Linked DNA regions of Elephas maximus indicus. The protein of the gene in region 1 interacts with the protein of each later gene in a pairwise test. Links are inferred from orthologs where the notes say so. Each region holds a gene or a part of one and is shown on either strand. Other genes may lie near its edges. The genes, in order: PTPN9 and RTN3.

Region 1 (3,904 bases):
AACAGATTTGTTTTTTTTGCTACTTCCCGAAATCAAATTGATTTTTAAAAGTACAAGGATTTTCCAACATAGAAGATACTTCAAAGATTCTGCCACAGTTTTGAAATCGATTACAAATGAGTTCCAAAACTGGTTTGAGCAATGGGACAACATTATGGAATGAGTGTGTCATTTCCCATTACAGCTACTTCAATGAGGTTAACATGCATTTGCTCCTGTTAAATATTTTAAAGAAACCTTAACCGTTAAGAGTACTCTTCCTTATGTGATATTAAACTAAAAGATGAGAACATCAGGCATTACCATAACTATTCTGCTTTCATGTTCGTGTTTCAGTGTTTCAACATTTTGAGATGTATATAGGAAACTTAGCATTTTGTAGAAAACAAAAGGTATGATTGAAAAAATAACATATAATCTCTTGACCTTAACATATAAACATTTTACTATTTCTATCCGGTCCTCTTTACTGTCCATTGCGTTCATTCTAATGTAAAAAAAAAAAAAAATAACACACCTGTATGTATACAAACTATATACAGAATAAAATTATTACCATTACCGATGCTTCAATATTCACTTTCCCTGGTTTCATTTTTTAATTTGCAACCTAATGGCGCTTTCATAGTAGGCATACTGCTGCCTTTAAGTCTAGAAACATAGAAACTTCAAATCTGACTAACCCAAGGAAAAAGAGATGAAAGAGATTTCCTCCTTTAAAATCAACATAACACATCTCACCTTAGTACTGAGGTATTGCACTAATTCTGACAGGATGGGCTCCAAGGCCATCTGCTTGCATTAGGCCCTCTTTTTAGTGTTTCATTAACACTCAACTGCAGTTACCAGGATGTTACCACTTCTTGTACGCAGCAGAATTCTATTTTTTTTTCCCATGCTGATTTTATCTCAAGGCATCAAAAGACAAGACTGTGATCTGAGGCCAACATGAAAAATGTCATCTCCACAAATGAGGAGAAAAGTCAAGGGATTTTTTTTTTTTAATCAGGTTTTAAGCCTATGAGCCAATATTATTTTGTAAACCTAAATTGTCTCCACGCTAGAGATTATGGTAAAAAATGTGGTCCTTGGAAACAAGGGCTGGACAGCTTTAAATGTTCACCTTTTTCTTTTTTCAGGTCTTAAAAAAAAAACGGAATCAGACTATAGCTATATCTGAGCATAGCTAAGGCTGGGTATGGGCAGTACCAAGGAAGATACAGCGAAAAGCCTTCAAGGTTCCCAATCTGACCCAGCCGACTTTCCTGTCTTCCTCAGATGGAGTGATCTGTGTCTCCAGAGCTGGAATGTGGGGGAGGGAAAGTCATAATGGCCTCTGCCTTCTCCCTTCCCCAAGCCCCAAACTGATACCGCAAACCACTTCCTACTGGGGATTGAAGATCATAAGCTTTAAGGGACAATGGAACTCAATGGAGGCTTCAGAAAGATGGAGGCAGTCAGAAGAGATTGGGGTAGGGAGTGAGGGCGAGGGGATGCGCTCAGACTGGGATGGGTGAGTAGGGACGCCAAGGCCAGGGACTTCGGCAGCATGAGAAGGCCTGGTCTGCATATTCCAAGACAACCCTGCCACAGCCCTTTGAGAAGCTTGCGGGGCTCCTGTGAAAACCCAGGGCATCTATGCACCCAGTGCCTATCACACTCGCCCAAATCTGGGGCTTTTCCTGCCCTTAAAAAACCACAACCCCTCACAGAAAGCAGCAATACATTTATGGGCTTTGAAAGGGCCGCCGGGGCAAGTGTGTGTTCTGCAAACGCGGAGGTGGAGGGGAGGGAAAAAGAGACCCCCCAATTCGAGGAACTTTAATTAAACCCGGCACAGTGAGGGGCAAAATAAGACCTATAAGCCTCGGGGATAAAAGAGGCAAGGGGCAGGGTCCAGCGGCGCCCCCCCGTCTCGGGGGACGACGACCCTGGGCGCGGCCGCCGGGCGGGGGAGGGGGAGAGGCCGCCCAGCTGCCCGGCGCTGGAGCGGGGACGCTGCGGGGCCTGGGCGCGGGGTGCGGGGCGCTGGAACGGGGACGCTGCGGGGCGTGGGGCGCTGGAGCGGGGACGCTGCGGGGCCTGGGCTCGGGGCGCGGGGCGCTGGAACGGGGACGCTGCGGGGCCTGGGCGCGGGGTGCGGGGCGCTGGAGCGGGGACGCTGCGGGGCGCGGGGCGCTGAAGCGGGGACGCTGCGGGGCCTGGGCGCGGGGTGCGGGGCGCGGAGCGCTGGAACGGGGACGCTTAGGGGCCTGGGCGCGGGGTGCGGGGCGCTGGAGCGGGGACGCTGCGGGGCCTGGGCGCGGGGCCTGGGCGCGGGGCGCGGCCCGGGAGCGCGGCCTGGGGAGGAGGCAGAAGCTGGCCTAGGCCTCGGGGGCCCGACACACCCACCGCAGCCGCCGCGGCCCCGCTTACCTGCTCCTCCTCCGGGGTCAGCTCCGGCGCCATGTCGGGCCGGGGCGCGGTCGCGGGCTCCATCCCGCCGCCGCCCCGCGGACACAGTCGCCCGGGAGCCGGGGAGCCCGGACTGTGGCCTCCGCTTCCGCGTCCCGCGCTCAGCAGCCCGAGGCCGGCTCGCGCATGGTCCGGCCGGCGGGGCCCGGCGCCCGCGGCGGCCGCAGACCCGCTCCCGTCTGCGCACAAAACCCTCTCCGAACTGCGGCTCCCTTCTGGGCGGAAATCCTTTTTTATTTTCTTCTCTCTTTCCCTCACACTCTCCCTCCTCTCCCGGAAAAAAAAAAAAAATGCAGGCGAGGAGCTAACAGCCAACCGGGATTAGAAACGGAGCTATTAAATAAAGAAGTTTTCAAGGCCGGAGCCAAAGGACGGCGTGGAAACTTCCCGAAAGCCACCGGCCTTCTCGGTTCTCCGGCGCCCGCAGACGTGACGGAGCCTCCAGGCCGCCGCTCGGGCCGTGCTCGGGCTGCGGGCCCCGGCGACCTGCGCGGCCGCCTCTCCGCCTCGTTCCTCAAAAGCGGCGGCGGGGAGAGGGAGGGAAGGAGGGAGGGAACGAGGAGAAGGCGCCCCCCTGCCGGCTCAGGGCCAAAGCTGCGGCCGCCCAAGCCCTCCGCGGCTCCATTGAGAAACTGAGCGTCTCATTCACAAACAGGCGGCGAGGAGGGCCCGGCAGAGCGAGGACGTCGTCCGGGAGGGGGAGACAGAGAGGGGCCCGCGGGGCGGGGGGCACAGGGGAGGGGAGAGGAGGGGGAGACGGAGAGGGGCCCTGGGGGGCGGAGCGGGCGGGGGGAAGAGGAAGAGGAGACAGAGAGGGGCCCCCGGAGGGGGTACAGGGGAGGAGAGAGGAGGGGGAGACGGAGAGGGGCCCTCGGGGGGGATACAGGGGAGGGGAGAGGAGGGGGAGACGGAGAGGGGCCCTCGGGGGGGGTACAGGGGAGGAGAGAGGAGGGGGAGACGGAGAGGGGCCCTGGGGGGGGATACAGGGGAGGGGAGAGGAAGGGGAGACGGAGAGGGGCCTTCGGGGGGGGTACAGGGGAGGAGAGAGGAGGGGGAGACGGAGAGGGGCCCCCAGAGGGCGGTACAGGGGAGGAGAGAGGAGCCCGCGGGGTGGGGGAGACGGAGGAGGGGTGGCTGCGGAGCTGTACAGAAGGAGACTCCGGGCTGCAGGAGGGAGAAAAGGGAAGAAAAGAGTGTGGTTTTCCTAAGAGGTTAAACTAAGCTCCTTGTAGGAAGAAGAGTTTGAAAACTGTCTGAAGGGCAAATCGGCTAGGTTTGATTTGCGGCAACCACCTATATGTTGAGGGGACACAATGCTCGTCTGTTTCCATGCCACTTGCTGACTAAAAGCTCCTGGAAAGGTTGCCTGCGAGGTCTAGGATGCTCAGGTGGAAAGGAGAGGCAGCTAATCGCGGCTCCATCTCGCTCTCTCTCCTTGCCAGCTGTATCC
Region 2 (3,904 bases), on another chromosome or scaffold:
TTAAAATATAAATTCCACTACTTTCTGTAAAACACATAATTTCAGCATTCTTTCCACCATCATACAGTGGCGGGGCGGGGGGCGGGGGGGAAGGTAAAGCCAAGAATAAATAAAAATTGTGACAAGGATAAATGGTATCAGAAACACAAACCAAAGAGATTACATATTAAATATGTATTTCCAATTCAGGGTTTGCTTGGTGGGGTGTACATGTGCGTGTCTGTGAACAAAATATTTTCATTTCACTGGACTATTAAAGAAGCCAATTCTTCCATTACAGAGCATTAAGGGAAAAAAAAGAAGCCAATTTTCAAATGATTTCACCATTTGGCTGCAAATGTTAGGACTAAATTTTAATGCCTGCTAATAAGAATGACCCTCAACATTTAACACTGGTCTTATCTTGAGCACTAAAGGGCAATCCCAAAAACTCAGGTCTGAATCAAATACAGAAAAATCAAAAGGTTTGCACCAAAGGACCAAACAGTAAGCAGAGACAAGTAATTAAAGCCAAAACACCAAGTCGCTAAATAAGAAAGAAGCTGCTGTTCATTTGGATCTTTGCCCAGAACACAAAAATTTGGAGAAACGCTGGTGGTGTGAAGGAAACGAGGGTTCCAAATTTGCTGCCTCATTCCGTTGAGGGCGAATCCTGACCTGCAAAAGCGTCCTCTGATACGGTCTGTTTCCAATGAAATGACCATAACCACACTGGAAAATCCGACCAGGCACCAAAGCTCTTAAACAGGTGGAAATCTACTATCAGCACGGGGAGAATATATTTAAAGCTAAGATCAGAAATCTTATTTCTTTAGAACGATCAACCCAAGATTCTGGCAAAGGAGACAAAGAACCATTTTAAAATATCTCAAATCCTTTAACATAACTAGAGAGCAAAATTATCTAGCTTATGGCCCTTCCTTTAACAAAAAGCATTTTATTTTATTTTTTAATTCAAAGACTCAATTCCTTTAAGAACCACCACCTGCCTGCTCATGGTGCATTTTCTTCCCCTCAAGACGGCATCTGCACTGCAGATCTCTGCATGAGGGGAGCCTGCCAGCCAGCTCCCACCAGCAGGCAGACGCGTATACAATGGAAACTAAAGGCGGCCTGCAGCTTCGCTTCTCGTCTTTCACAGAGATGGGAGGAGAAGGGGCTTCAACCAGCTCCTGCTTTGTCTGAATTTCTCCCCCCGCCCCCCTTTCTGCAGCAAACGCCCCCTTTTGTTACAATGCGATTGATAATAGCCCACAAAAAAAAAAAAAAATACAAAACCCAAACACATTTGATGGCTTCTCATTGCTCCTTATTTATTACCTTCTAGAATATATGCGACTGATTGCATACGCCCACCCCCACGCCGCGCCAGGGAAGAGTGGGCTGTGCTGCAGAGGCAGCCACGGATCCATCTTGGCCCACCAGCTGTTCCCTCCCAAATCTTCCCCGAGCTATTCTCATCACGCCTCTTTAAATCGGGCATGCCACCAAAAATTAAAGGCACAAAAAACAGTAAAGAAACAGGTTTAACTTCCTCATTCTCCCCACGGGCAAAAAAAAACACAAAAAACACTGAAGACTACCATGTCTGATTATGACAACACCTGTCTGCAAATCTGCACTGCAACCTTTCCACCTCCATCCCCTCAAAATCCTAATTATTGCTCCTATCACCAACCTGTCCCGATCCTCTTTATAGCCTCAGTCTCTCTAATCCTCCACTAAATCAACCCCATTCAGACGACTGCGCTTTCGTCGCCCCGAACCTGGCTCGTCATATGTTTGCAGCAATAGTCCATCTAATCCCACCCTCCCCCGAACTGGTGTTTTTCCCCCACCAGACAGATCTTGGTGTTAACGCCTACTCTCTAGGCTACCTCCCCACCCCCAACCTGTTTTCCCCACACCCCGTTATTTCCTCATCGCTTGCACGACCTTAGGCTCCCCTCCCCCTTTGCCCATTTTCCAAACGCTCATTCCCGGGGGCCGAATCCCTCAGCAGCCGAGGGTAGTTTGCCGGTCCCCTCACCCCACTGCGCCCCCCGACTGAGCCCCCGGCCCCGAGCACCCTCCCTCCCGAGGGCAGGGGCTCCCCGGCTCTCCTCACCCGCACAGGAGGAGCCGCAGGTCTTCGCCCCCAGGGCGGGGCAGGCTCCCGGGCTCCCGCCGCCGCCGGGCGCGGAGGGCTCGGCCCCGGAGGACGACGAGGAGACGGACGGAGATTGAGTGGCCGCCGACGGCTCCGCCATGGCTGCGCGAGCAAGGGCGGGAGACGGGTGAGGAGAGATGTGGGGCGGGAGAGAGGGAAGGGAAATAAACTAATCGGGCAGCTGGCGCTCCGAAGTCCCCTCAGCCTTCCTGCTCCGAGGACAGACTCCGACTGACTGACCGACTGAGCCCAGGCGAGCGCGAGAGAGGAGGGAGGGAGGGAGAGCGCGCAGGCGCACAAAGGGCCCTCGAGCGCACGGCGGGGGCGGGCGGGAGCCTCGCGGAGAAGCCAAGCGGCTCAGAGCGCAGGCGCAAGAACTGTCCCTCCGCGCTCTGCAGGAAAGGCGGGGCAAAGCTGGCCTCCCTTAGCGCCCGGCCTGAGCGGCCGGGGTGGGGCGCGCCCCCCGGGAGGGCCAGAGCAAGGGGCGTGGCCGTGCTCCGAGCTCCGCCCGCCCCTGCGGCCGAAGCGGGAGGTGTTTCCTCATATTTATTTATGTAAACTTTTTTTTTTTTTTAGGGTCGGTAGTTTGTGTTTTTAGCGAGAGACGTTTCTTTTTGCTTCCATTAGATGGGAAGTATCTTTCCCATAAATTACAGAGCCGATGTCTTGTGTCCGATGCATTCCCACCTGAGACTATGAAAACTGAAAACCATAGTGTTGAGCAGGCCCACTTTAAAAGTGCTTTATGAATTTATCTAGACGTGTCGTAATGTGTCATCACCATGCGGCAGAGAAGGCACAGTCCCCCATTTGGTAGGTGGAGGAAGATGCTGAGCAGAGTGAAAAACCATTACTCATTCCAATCACATTGCAATGCAGCCGCCAAACCTACTTCTTATTCTTATCTCGTTGCTCTTTCCAAAGAGGGGTCCACTTTGGGTCTTAAGCTTGACCTTGCCTCTGAATAGGCCTTCGGACAGAGAAGACATATTTTGAAGGAAAAGAAGCTGGTCTGGTGAGGAAAAAAAGAGCCAGGAAATAAGAACATCCTGGCTGTGGTTATGGGGGATGATAACGTATTAAAAATTGAGAATATAACACAAAATTCACATAATAGAGTTTTTTTTATTAAAGGAGTACTTAGTAGAAAATATATTTGAAACCAGACATCCAGCTTATACTGAATTTTGTTCATTTTCTTGTTTCTCCTGGGTTGGCTTGCCAAATTCAAAGCCTACATCTGGTCAAGATATTTGCCAGGTGCATAATCCATTTAAAAAGGAGAACGTATCCTGGAAATAATAAAAATCAAGGCCATAGGCTTTGTTATTGCTAAAGCAGCAATCAATGACCTGAAGGGCAATTGCAGGATCAGCAGATCCTGTAAAGATGCAACCTCATGCAGCAGGAGGTAGTCAGCCAGGCGGCCACAGAGGGCAATCCAAAGGGTAGAAATCTTCTAGAACAGGCAGTGGACTCCATCTGTCCTTGACAGTTTTTAAGGTCAGGTAAAACCCAGACAGGAAAAAAAAAAAAAAAACTCCTAGCAGTTGCAATGCTCTGAAAAAAGCACAGAAGAATATTTCCCAAAATAACTTTGCAGTAAATATCTTACCCTGACACTTACAGCATCAGTTGATAATGCAGCAGCAAAGTGCCCCTTAGATGGCAAAGGGACATACAAGCTGATCTGATAACCAAGCTGGTTGTATACCCGCACTGATAATGAATAAAAAACTCATGTCATTAGGTGAT

Evidence for each region.
Region 2: the proteins of PTPN9 (region 1) and RTN3 interact in binary tests that used the Homo sapiens proteins (3 or more experiments, as listed by UniProt). The two-hybrid records come from large-scale screens. The link is inferred for Elephas maximus indicus from reciprocal best matches to the Homo sapiens genes PTPN9 and RTN3.

What each region holds. Positions count from the first base shown.
Region 1 is NC_064831.1:65,482,833-65,486,736, forward strand, and holds the start of PTPN9 (tyrosine-protein phosphatase non-receptor type 9), read right to left. Parts: upstream 2,771-3,904; 5' UTR 2,479-2,770; coding exon 2,416-2,478; intron 1-2,415. UniProt on the Homo sapiens protein: Protein-tyrosine phosphatase that could participate in the transfer of hydrophobic ligands or in functions of the Golgi apparatus.
Region 2 is NC_064825.1:126,882,844-126,886,747, reverse strand, and holds the start of RTN3 (reticulon-3), read right to left. Parts: upstream 2,416-3,904; 5' UTR 2,250-2,415; coding exon 2,108-2,249; intron 1-2,107. UniProt on the Homo sapiens protein: May be involved in membrane trafficking in the early secretory pathway. Inhibits BACE1 activity and amyloid precursor protein processing. May induce caspase-8 cascade and apoptosis.